2 linked regions of the Drosophila melanogaster genome follow. The protein of the gene in region 1 interacts with the protein of each later gene in a pairwise test. Each region holds a gene or a part of one and is shown in the gene's direction. Other genes may lie near its edges.

Region 1 (3,516 bases):
ACAGCCAGCGGAAATGGAATGAAGCCCATGCGTCTGGCCACCAAATCCGAATGATCTGAGAATGCGTGCTTTTGCCGCGTCTGGGTCATATCGTAGGCCAAGCTGGTCGTGTACTCCCTGTAGATGCTCTCCGGCAGCTCATTGAATCGCGTGATAAACGCATGCTTCACCCAATCGATCAGAATTTCCGTGAACAGCACGGCAAAGCAGTCGGGCAGCATTACACAGAACTGGGTGATGCTCCAGTCAAACTCCTTCATGGTCTGGATGACCACAATGAACAGAAGCACAGACAGATGGAATCGCTCTCGTACATCGCTGCAGGTCAATTGGAACAGGTTGTTTTTGTCGAACTTCTTGAACACGGATCCCTTGAGCTCCACGAAATTATTCGATATCATGATGGTCAGCAGGCCCTTGTTGTTGGAGTTCACCGCCACATTCAAACAGGTGGCCTGAAGGAATAGTTTAGAAACCAAACCAATATAATCACAGAGAAAATGTGGTTTATAAAGCTACCATTACTCACCTGAAACATGATCAGTCCGCTGTGCAAGAAGACATAGATTAGCGTGAAGAGAACGTGCGTAAGCACTCCAAAGTGCTCTCGCTTGGAATTCTTTGGTTCTGTCGCCGTCCAGAAGAGAGCATCGATCGTGTCCTGACCAAAAGCGGACAACAGCCGGTCGCCCACCTCCAGCATGTTGTAGAATATGTACAGCTTGATGATCGACTGTGACTTGATGATGTGGTACACCCGATTCGTGTCCACCAGGAGCATTATCAGCGTCACCGTCATCCAGATGACGCCCTTCAGCAGATCACAGATCTCCGCCGGCGATAGCAGCCTTTGTCCGCTGCTGCGTAGTCGAAAGATTCTTGCCACCGTCCTGGAAACTAGGGCCCAAACGGCCATCACAAATCGGACGGGCAGAAAAGTGTGAATGTAGAGAAATGAGTCGGCGCACTGCATGATCCCGTACACCATGAATCGCTCCAGATCCCGCGGTATGCGCATGAAGCTGTAGATCTTCTGCCTACGCGCCGAATAGCGCTCCTCGTCGTGCTCCAGCATATAGCCGCGTGTCATCTCCACTTTGAAGAAGTCGTAGAATGTGTTTGTGCAGGTTTCGGCGGTTCCTGCAAAAATAAAAGAAAAATGAATGATAAGTATGAATCAAATATAAAGTATATGCATAGATTCTAATGATTTAAGTAAAATAGATAACGATTGATTACAAATCATTGATTATACATCCTTATCCTTAGTTAAAACAACTTCAAAAATTGCAAATTATGATATATTAGGTTTTTAAGAGCTTTATCTGGAATTTAAGTTAATTAAAAATCTCTCTAGAACTTTAAATATAGCATCAAATCTAAGGCAAATGTGTATGTTATGATCAAAAGTAAAGTTGCTATGAAATAGCGCGAAACCCAATTAAAATTAGTTAACGTAAATGTCATCCTAAGAACTAAATAATAATAATTCAAAAGAATGTTTTTCCAATCAGTAAATCCGTGTTTACCGCTCTGCAGTCGCTGCTGCGCTGAGCCCGCTGCCGGCGTCGCAGTCGGCGTCGCTGCAACGTCATCCTGGGCGAGCGGCGCCTTTTGCTTCTGCTCCTCCTGCTGCTGATGATGCAGTTCCTCCACTCGGCTGCCGGTGACGTCGCCGCGAAAGCGCAGCTGACGCTTGCCGCCCGCGGAATTGAGTGTGGCGTTCATTAAGTACGGTGTGCGGAGTCCATAAAATTAACAATAACAACGAGCTACAAAATTTCGGGGTGAAACAGCAGTTATATGAAAATGTACTAACGCGTGCCGAAAATACCCAAACGTAAACAGTGTGTGTATCGAATGTACAGAACTATCGCCTAAAGTAACAGCTTAGTTTATATTATATTAACATGGTTAATATTTGCAATGATTTTTATTCTAAGCTTAAAGAATAAGTTCCCGTTAGGGCCATGAGAGAAATTGATATATAAGTATACAACGAATTTTAAAATAATATATTTTTGCTACCCAGTAAACTTTTTATGCACTAGCTCACCGATTCATATTTCAAAGTGCTATCGAAGTATCAGTCAATAGAGTGCCGTCACTAAATAAAAGCAGAGAAAATATTTCAATAGTTTGTAGCTGAAAAATATGTTCGCATCTGTGGAATTAAGCTCATATCGCGATCAGCACTTCAAGGTGAGTACATCCGAAGGCGCCACAGCAGATCTCCGACTCAATAAACCAATTGCAGGGCTCGCGCTCCGAGCAAGAGCGATCGCTCCGCGACTCGTGTACACTTTACGTGGGAAACTTGAGCTTCTACACCACCGAGGAGCAGATCCACGAGCTCTTCTCCCGCTGCGGCGATGTTCGTGTGATTGTGATGGGCCTGGACAAGTATAAGAAGACGCCCTGCGGCTTCTGCTTCGTGGAGTACTATGTCCGATCGGAGGCGGAGGCGGCCATGAGGTGAGCCATATCCATCTCTCCACGCTAGAAAAAGCCGCCTTTTTTCCGGCATTTGTAGAAGTAATCAGATGGGGTATCATTATCTCTTAACTAACTTCAACACTCTTTTCTTCTCCCACAAAAGATTTGTGAATGGCACTCGCTTGGACGACCGTCTGATTCGTGTGGACTGGGACGCCGGCTTCGTGGAGGGCAGGCAGTATGGACGCGGCAAAACCGGCGGACAGGTGCGAGATGAATACCGCACGGATTACGATGCCGGCCGCGGGGGTTATGGCAAACTGTTGTCACAGAAGATTGCACCCAACACGGACAATCGCTAGTTATTAGATAAAATGACTGTAAAGACTATAAGCCCCCCAATTAGATATTAAAGCATACCCCTTAGACATAACATCTCTAATCGCATATATATTGTACGTTTTACATAGTTCTTTTGAAGACGTAATTGATATCATTGCGGCCTAGCATTAGCATGTATGAGTTTCTAGTGTTTTCGGGCTGACTGGATTCCATTTACTTCTTGCCAATGTTGTTGGCCAGCGAGCAGCTGAGTCCGGTGCCATCGGGCTCGACATTCAGCTCGGTCACCTTGCCGTTCTCCACCACCAGCGAGTAGCGCTTTGAGCGCACGCCGCCAAGTGGTGGCAGATCGATGGTCACATCCAGGGCCTTGGTGAAACCGCCGGCGGGATCAGCTAGGAGGCGCACCTTGCCCGCGGCTCCGTGCTCCTTGCCCCAGGCGGACATCACAAAGGGATCGTTGACCGAAACGCAGACAATCTCGTCCACGCCCTGCTTGGACTTCAGCTCATCGGCGGAGCTCACATAGCCGGGCAAGTGGGTCTGTGGGTGTGGGGAAATGCATTATTCAGTTGGAATACATAAGCTGCATAAATTACACTATACTGCTGGAAGTTTCTACAATATTCGGAAACTCAAAGCAGATGACTTTGCAACTATGCTACCTACGCACCTTTGAGCAGCCTGGAGTGAAGGCGCCGGGAACGCCGAAGATGATCACCTTCTTGCCATTGACGA
Region 2 (7,793 bases), on another chromosome or scaffold:
GATTTGGACCCTGGTTGCATGTCAAAGGCGCATGAAACGCGCCAGCCTGCCACAAGAATCAAATGACACTCGGCCTGGTCCATTTCGGTCGCTCCACGGAGTTAAAAAAATTATCCATGCAGTGCAGTTTGTAGCTTACAGTTCGCAGTTTGCAGTATGATATGGTCAAAATACCCAGCAGTGTGTAGCCTTAATTGGCACCTCGACACTTGGCCAGGACCGAACCGAATCGAATCGCATCGAATGACTGCTGCTGTGTAGGTGCACTTGATGGCCGGCTGTGGTGTGAGATTTATGCATGTTCTCTTTGCGTATCCATTGCCCAACTGATGGTGGTGGAGCGGCACGACGGCTACTGGGCAGTTGGAAGCTTGGAAGTTGCAAGTTGGCACTTTGTTAGGCTGCGGCGCCGCTTTTTGATAAAGTATCCCAGCCAATGGTCACGCAATAAATTTTTGACATGACTTACGCACGTCCGAAATGGTCGATGGGGGGCAATTGATATGAGTGGTAGCCATTATGTAGATCTAAGTGATCGGAAACATTCAATAACACTTATACGACTTTTATGATAGCCAGCCAAAGGCCACACGGCGTATGCGCAATATTTTCATAGCAATTGATTTTTATCCTATTATTGTTGGTTATTTTAAAAGCGTGCAGTATATTTAAGATAAATACTACGTGCGTAAGTCTCCTCCCCTTCAATGTTGCACCTTTGAGCCCCAATTCTGTCCCAAAAATGTCAGCGATTAGCCGAGAATTTCAATTGACTGCACCCTCGCCACCAACATCCGTCGATTTCCATCTGCGTGATTGCTCTTGAAGAACCGCCCACCTTGAATTGGAAACACATTTCCACATATGCAAATCGCGAAAATCCAATCTGCAATAGCTTTATTCGCTGAAGCATTTAAAAATCGATTGATTGCTGTAAAGATCGTAATTACCCATTTAATTACTCTTGTTAATTAAACACACAATCGCATGAGGCGAGAGCAGCAAATATAATTGCCGTCCGTTCAGATTGGACGATAAAAGCCAGTGGTAATTGACATTTAAGGCAATTCATTAACGCAACTAACATATGGGAGTCAAAGAGCCAAAGTTAAAAACTAAATACCAACAGGTGGACTACTGCCCAAATACGAGAAGAAAAATGAAAAAACATCAGATACACGAATAACATGGCTAATCATGCACTAGATTTCGGGATATGTGTCTTTTTTTTCACAGGCCCGACTAAAAAATGCTGCCTCGGTTTTTTTTTCCCCCAATTTTTCACCGCGCATTTGCATACGAGTGGCCAAGTCGACGGCGCCACAATCTCCTCGGTTCCCAGCCACCAGCAAGTTCGAAGATTTCGGAGAGCCGAGTTGTTAGCGGCAATTATTGTAACCTGCAGACGGGCCGCATAAATCAGCTTAATTGCTATATTTAAATTCTAAATTTGGAGCTCTGGCCAAGTGCGCTGTCTAGTTGTGCAAGTGACACGGTCAGCGTCTATTTGGACCTGCAAATCTAATATATGCATGGCTATAGTTTTTGGGCAGCATTAACAATTTATGCAAATTAATGTGTGTGTGATGGTGGTCCCCTAAAAAGGCAAATTTATTAGAAGTATGCATATTTAAATTAAGATATGCCTGTTATGGGTGTTGTAATGAATGTTAAGTATTTTCACATGTCGATTTTTAATAACAAAGAACCTAATGAACTTATTACACATTTCAAGAAAGTTCTAACGGTTGGTTTTAAAATTCAAAATTCGATAGAAGTCGATATATTTTCAATGGTTTGTGTCCACGCTACGACCACAGTCAAATTGGAAATTGATGTCAAGTATTTGTGATTATTTTATGGTAATAATAAAGCGATTTAGGTAACAAACACATCTAATTAAATTCTATTCATTAAATATATTTTATCGTAGTTGTATTCTCATTAACTGTCAAATTGCGGAATACCCCAAACAGGATGTGGTATTTTCTAGTATGCGAGCAAAAATATACCGCATAGGTTTTCCACATTTCAGCTTTACAGTCACACTGCACCGCTCCGCCATTTTACGCTGACAATTTTTTCGCAAGATTGAAGAAACTAGTTCGTGCACGAGTAGAATGTAAATAGTTACAGAATTCACCCAACGGAAAACAACGCGCCAAAGCAATTAATCAATTAATTGTGCAGCGGGCGCGATTACCCGGCTAAATCGCGCAGCAGCACGCCGGTTTCTGCTCCGGCTTCCCCCTCCCCCGCAAAAAAAAAGAAACTGTACGAGGCGCGAGTGCAAGTGGGACAGAGACGGAAAGATTGGCGAGTGTCTTAGTGTGCGTGCGAAAATTGGGAAAAGCGGTGAAAAATCAGTAATTACGCCTAGGAATAGCAACTTTTCCGGCTCAACATGGCCGACGTGGTCTTGGATCTGTACGCGGAGGACCTCGACAAGGACTTTGCCGGGCAGGCTCAGGTAAGCCATGGGAAAAAGGCAGTCGCTCTGCAAGCCGCGTGTGTATGTATACAGTAGGGTGGATCGATGTCCGAAAGAATTGCGTTAGGGGGTAGAACGGCGTCTTGGGCGAACTCGACCACTTGGTACCTTGTAAAGTAGGGTTCTAGGAACTGAGTGCAGGGATATTATATTTATATAAAAATGAAACGTAATTTTTTTTAATTTCTTTAGCCATGGAAATGTAGAGAATTGTACGAATCCCAATAACTATACATTCTAAAAATTCTAAAGTAAAAATAGAGTAAAATCGAATTTGTAAAAAAAACAAGACTTGATCGTTTATTTTTAACGATTTTACGGGATTCCCACAACAGTTTGACCCACTTGTTAATTACTTTGCTTTATCCGCACAGGACGAATTTGGAGGCGATGGAGTAGACCTATACGATGACATAGGCGGTCCCACCGAATCGGCCGCCTCAGGTGGCGGGGGCGGTGGAACGCCCTCCGCAGATGGAGCCGCAGGGCCAGGCTCCGGGGAACCCGGCGAACGGAATTCCGGTGGTCCCAATGGGGTGTACCATCAGAGCAGTGGTAGCCTCACTCCGACCATGAATCGCCGCTACCAGCTTTATGTGGGCAATCTCACATGGTGGACCACTGACCAGGATATCGCCAATTCGCTGCGAGACATTGGCGTGAGTGATCTACAGGAAGTGAAGTTTTTTGAGAACAGGGCCAACGGTCAGTCGAAGGGCTTCAGTGTAATCTCCCTCGGCTCAGAATCTAGCCTGCGCGCCGTGCTCGACCAGCTGCCCAAGAAGGAGATGCACGGCCAAGCGCCGGTGGTCACGTATCCCAGCAAGCAGGCACTCACCCAATTCGAGAGTCTGCAAAAGACGCGTCCAGTGCCGCCGCCGCAGCAGAATGGACCGCCCAGGGGTCCGGCACCACCCAGTATGGGTGGCGGGCCAATGCCCACCGGACATCCAGGAGGACCGCAAGGAGGTGGACCACCGGGACATCCACCGCGCGGGATGAACTCCATCATGCAGCCGGGCCAGTACCGACCGCAGCACATGTCGCAGGTTCCCCAGGTGGGCGGACCCAACTCAGGACCTCCACGAATGCAGGTACACAACCACTGTTTTAGCCCCACATGGCCCCAAGAGGTCTCATCGTTTGTAGAAATATCGCTCGGTTCTAATTTGTTTTGTTTCTACATTCCTACATTATTTCCTATTTCCATCAAAATTGTTCTGAATGCAAAATTTGCTTACTTAGGTAAAATTAGAAACCCTAAATATACGACTTCATGTATAGTTTATAAACGAATATGTTCTACTTCAGTTGTTCGATATTCTTTTGTAAATTAAACGTAGAAACTTAGTTTTACAATTTAGAGAAAACAATAACGACTTTAGATGTGAGATATAAACAATCTGAAATATCCGATCTCTTGTTAGTATTTCATTTGATAATTTATAAACTAAACTAAAGCTGTCGTACAAATTAAGTTTCTAAGAATTTTTATTTATGTCTTTAAGTACTATTCTTATTCTTTACTTCTATTAATTCACAAGTAATTTCAGAGCAATTTTTTGTAGCACTCCTCGGCCTAAGGCAGTTTGTATTCTTTTTACTCCTTTTGTACTCTAGTCATAGACTTTCAACAAAAAAAAGCACATGTAATAAATTAAAATCAAGAGCAGTGCCTTCCTGGTTCCACTCAAATAATATATACTTTTGATTTAATTGCGTTAATGTATTTCCCCCCCTAGTATTTGTAATTGTGTATAATGGCCCGCTATTGTTATACAAAATGTTTATGTATTACGATTTATGTTCTATTCCATGTCTTTGACAACGCTTACGCACACTTCTACCCCACAACAACAACTACTACTTCAATATAAAACGTAATTCGTATTAATATAGCCGCCAATGCATCCGCAAGGCGGGCTCATGGGGAACCAACAGCCGCCACCCCGGTATCCGTCAGCGCAGGGCCAATGGCCAGGTCAGCGGCCAGGCGGGCCGCGACCAGGTCCACCGAACGGACCACCGCAGCGACCAATGGTAACAATCCCCAAAGCACTGAGTCCTCTTTGTATCTATGCCATAATATAATTCTAACGAAGCCAGAGAGAAGGCGAGATAAAGGAAGACTAACCCAACTTAAGTTAACCTTAGTTAACTTAGTCTTAAGCGATGTATTCAGAACATTTTCAGTAATTCCACAGATCAACCCATGCAACACAAACTCATACTATAGCTTAGAAACCGATTCGATCCGATCATTGGGAACAGTAAATAATCTTGTCTCTTCTGCCTTGCAGTTCCAAGGAGGCCCAATGGGCATGCCCGTCAGGGGTCCGGCAGGTCCCGACTGGCGTCGTCCACCCATGCACGGTGGTTTCCCGCCGCAAGGTCCGCCACGTGGCCTTCCCCCAGCACCAGGTCCGGGCGGACCACACGGCGCACCCGCACCCCACGTGAACCCAGCATTCTTTAACCAGCCTGGTGGTCCTGCCCAGCATCCGGGCATGGGTGGCCCGCCCCACGGAGCACCAGGTCCACAGCCAGGCATGAATATGCCACCGCAACAGGGCATGAACATGACGCCACAGCATGGACCGCCACCCCAGTTCGCCCAGCATGGACCACGTGGTCCGTGGCCGCCACCGCAGGGTAAGCCACCAGGTCCCTTCCCCGATCCGCAGCAGATGGGTCCGCAACTGACGGAGGTGGAGTTCGAGGAGGTGATGAGCAGAAATCGCACAGTCAGCAGTTCGGCGATCGCCAGGTGAGTGCAAAGGTTTTTAAAATGTTTTCTTTAACGAGGTCAAAACTTGTAGTTATTATTTAAAAACTAACCCATTCCTAAGTCGAATTCATAGAAAATTCCAATTATTGAAACTATGACTCAGATCCGGTCTAATTAATAAATTATCTAGATAATTAATTACTTTGTTGATCAAATATCAATTCCCTTTTTATGCTAATTTATTTTCAGAGCTGTTTCTGATGCAGCCGCTGGTGAATACTCGAGCGCCATCGAGACACTGGTCACAGCCATTTCACTGATCAAACAGTCCAAGGTAGCGCACGATGAGCGATGCAAAATTCTGATTAGCTCGCTGCAGGACACGTTGCATGGCATCGAGGCCAAGAGCTACAATAGGCGCGAAAGGTCGCGGTCGAGGGAGCGATCTCATCGCAGCCGACAGCGACGTGAGCGTTCCACGTCCAGGTACCGCGAGCGATCTCGGGAGCGGGAACGCGATCGGGATCGTGAGCGTGAACGGGATGGCGGGTAAGTTTTGGTTCTACCATGTGTAAGCCTCACACTTAATTCCGTATTCATTTTCTAGAAGCTACAGAGAGAGGTCTCGCAGTAGAGAACGTGAACGCCAGGCTCCAGATCACTACAGGGATGACAGGTAAAGACGTTCTACTTCTAAAAATTCGCTTCACTGTCTCATTTAAAAGTTGCTGATTAATTAATCATAGTGCTTCATTTAAATAGCATAGAACTCATAATTTATTCACTCGTAAACAGATTTTTTACTTTTGCTGTAAAAACAAGTGTAGATTTGTAAAGTCAGACGAAACTTTATTTTAAAATATTTGGAAAAATGTATAATTTATTAAAAGGTAGTATTTTTAAGGTATAGGCTTTTCAAATTTTTTATTTTCATTAAAAGCTTTCTGTAAAGATGTTAGCTTGAATTGTAACTGTTTAGGCTCATCAGAATATTTTTGCTCTTTTGTGCAACAATATACGGTGACAATTAAGCGAATTATTTTTAAGCTCGAAATGAAAACCTTGCGTTAATTTCAATCCCATAATCCGAAAACAGCCGATCGGTGCGTCCACGAAAGTCGCCGGAACCCGTAGTCGCCGAAGCAGCGGAGGCGCCATCATCGAAGCGCTACTACGAGGATCGGGAAAGGTACCGCTCCTCGGACCGTGAGCGACGCGACCGCGATCGAGACCGCGACCGCGAGCGGGAGCGTGATCGCGACAGGCGTGAGGAGCACCGTTCCCGGCATTGACTGCCGTAAGTGGAAGTTGGAACCATCGCCAGTGGACCCGTAATCAAGTGTAAAGATGCAACACAGATATACTAAACACACTCTATTAACAAACAATAAGCCGCAGCTTGGTGGGATGACAAGCTAGCCACAATTAACAGATTTTCGATTTGTATCTAACATTACCAATACGTAGGATATGAATATGGCAAACAGCATAGTTCTTCTAGACATACTATAATAAGCCGAAATGCTGACAAGATTTTACCAACGACGGACGGGGACTGCCTCTGGATCCATCCAACTTCACATCACAGAATCCTGGCAACATCAAGACCGGCAGACCGAAGTCAGCAGCAGTAGCAGGAGGATCGATGGAGAAGCCAAGGGGACAGTCAGCGTGGGACATTATAGACACTGATGCGCACTGGATCATCAAACAACAAACAACTAGCATTCCTGCACCGCCGTCTTCGCAGCAGAATTTCAATATTATTGTACTCTAAAATTTCGGTTTATTTAATAAAACATAAACGTATGAAAAAAAGAATTGTTCCAGAAAAAACCTTTACCAAAACTGTCTTGTATTGTGTGTCTTCTTGTACTCTTATTATATAAAAAAAAAAACATCTTATTAGTTAATGACTTTATAATTGTACAACAAAATTGTATGTAAAAATTACAAAATTATTGCACTTGTGCGTGCAATTAATATGGAAATTGTTATATTAACAAAATCATTTTGCCGACTGAGGCCGAAAATCGTTATCCCTAATGTATTTTCAAATATTTCGCGATCTTTTGTTGTAAACATTCTCCACGCATTTGTTTAATCTTGTTTTTATTTAACAATTAAACTTAAGTCGATCATAATTGTGTGCTTGAGACTGAGTGTGAGTGAATTTTTGTAGCATTCAAATGCCGACTGAATCCATCCGCATAAACGGATGGAGAAAACCATATGTTTGTATAGAATAAGTCGAGTGTGTGCTTTTAGCCCAAATACCATGATTTTTAGACTAAATTACTCTAAAAGAGAAACGTCCCAATCGCATTTATCGTAGTTAACTATACTAACGTTACAAGCTGATGTAGTTCCTAACATAGGTTCCAAGAAAAGAACAAAGTCATTCAGTTCCCCCCGAGATACTGTACTACTCGCGGCTCATTTTACACAACTTAGGCCTCCAATTGTATCATCTACATTTTACTTTTTTAAATTCTAGCTTTACTTTTAATTTGTATATACATTTTGTAAACGATACTCGACTAAGATCATGTCCCACTAATCCCGAATTGCAAT

The links.
Region 2: the proteins of Cbp20 (region 1) and Cpsf6 interact in a two-hybrid assay, tested with the Drosophila melanogaster proteins (one large-scale study listed by BioGRID).

What each region holds. Positions count from the first base shown.
Region 1 is NT_033777.3:18,162,575-18,166,090, forward strand, and holds Cbp20 (cap binding protein 20), read left to right. Parts: upstream 1-2,086; 5' UTR 2,087-2,154; coding exon 2,155-2,202; intron 2,203-2,257; coding exon 2,258-2,475; intron 2,476-2,599; coding exon 2,600-2,798; 3' UTR 2,799-2,865; downstream 2,866-3,516. Other genes in the region: CG7218 (uncharacterized protein), read right to left, coding at 1-455, 530-1,140, 1,530-1,728; Prx5 (peroxiredoxin 5), read right to left, coding at 2,992-3,321, 3,452-3,516. UniProt on the Drosophila melanogaster protein: Component of the cap-binding complex (CBC), which binds co-transcriptionally to the 5' cap of pre-mRNAs and is involved in various processes such as pre-mRNA splicing and RNA-mediated gene silencing (RNAi).
Region 2 is NT_037436.4:8,309,749-8,317,541, reverse strand, and holds Cpsf6 (cleavage and polyadenylation specific factor 6), read left to right. Parts: upstream 1-2,039; 5' UTR 2,040-2,404; coding exon 2,405-2,470; intron 2,471-2,865; coding exon 2,866-3,585; intron 3,586-4,390; coding exon 4,391-4,531; intron 4,532-4,791; coding exon 4,792-5,258; intron 5,259-5,468; coding exon 5,469-5,768; intron 5,769-5,826; coding exon 5,827-5,895; intron 5,896-6,315; coding exon 6,316-6,511; 3' UTR 6,512-7,049; downstream 7,050-7,793. UniProt on the Drosophila melanogaster protein: May play a role in pre-mRNA 3'-processing.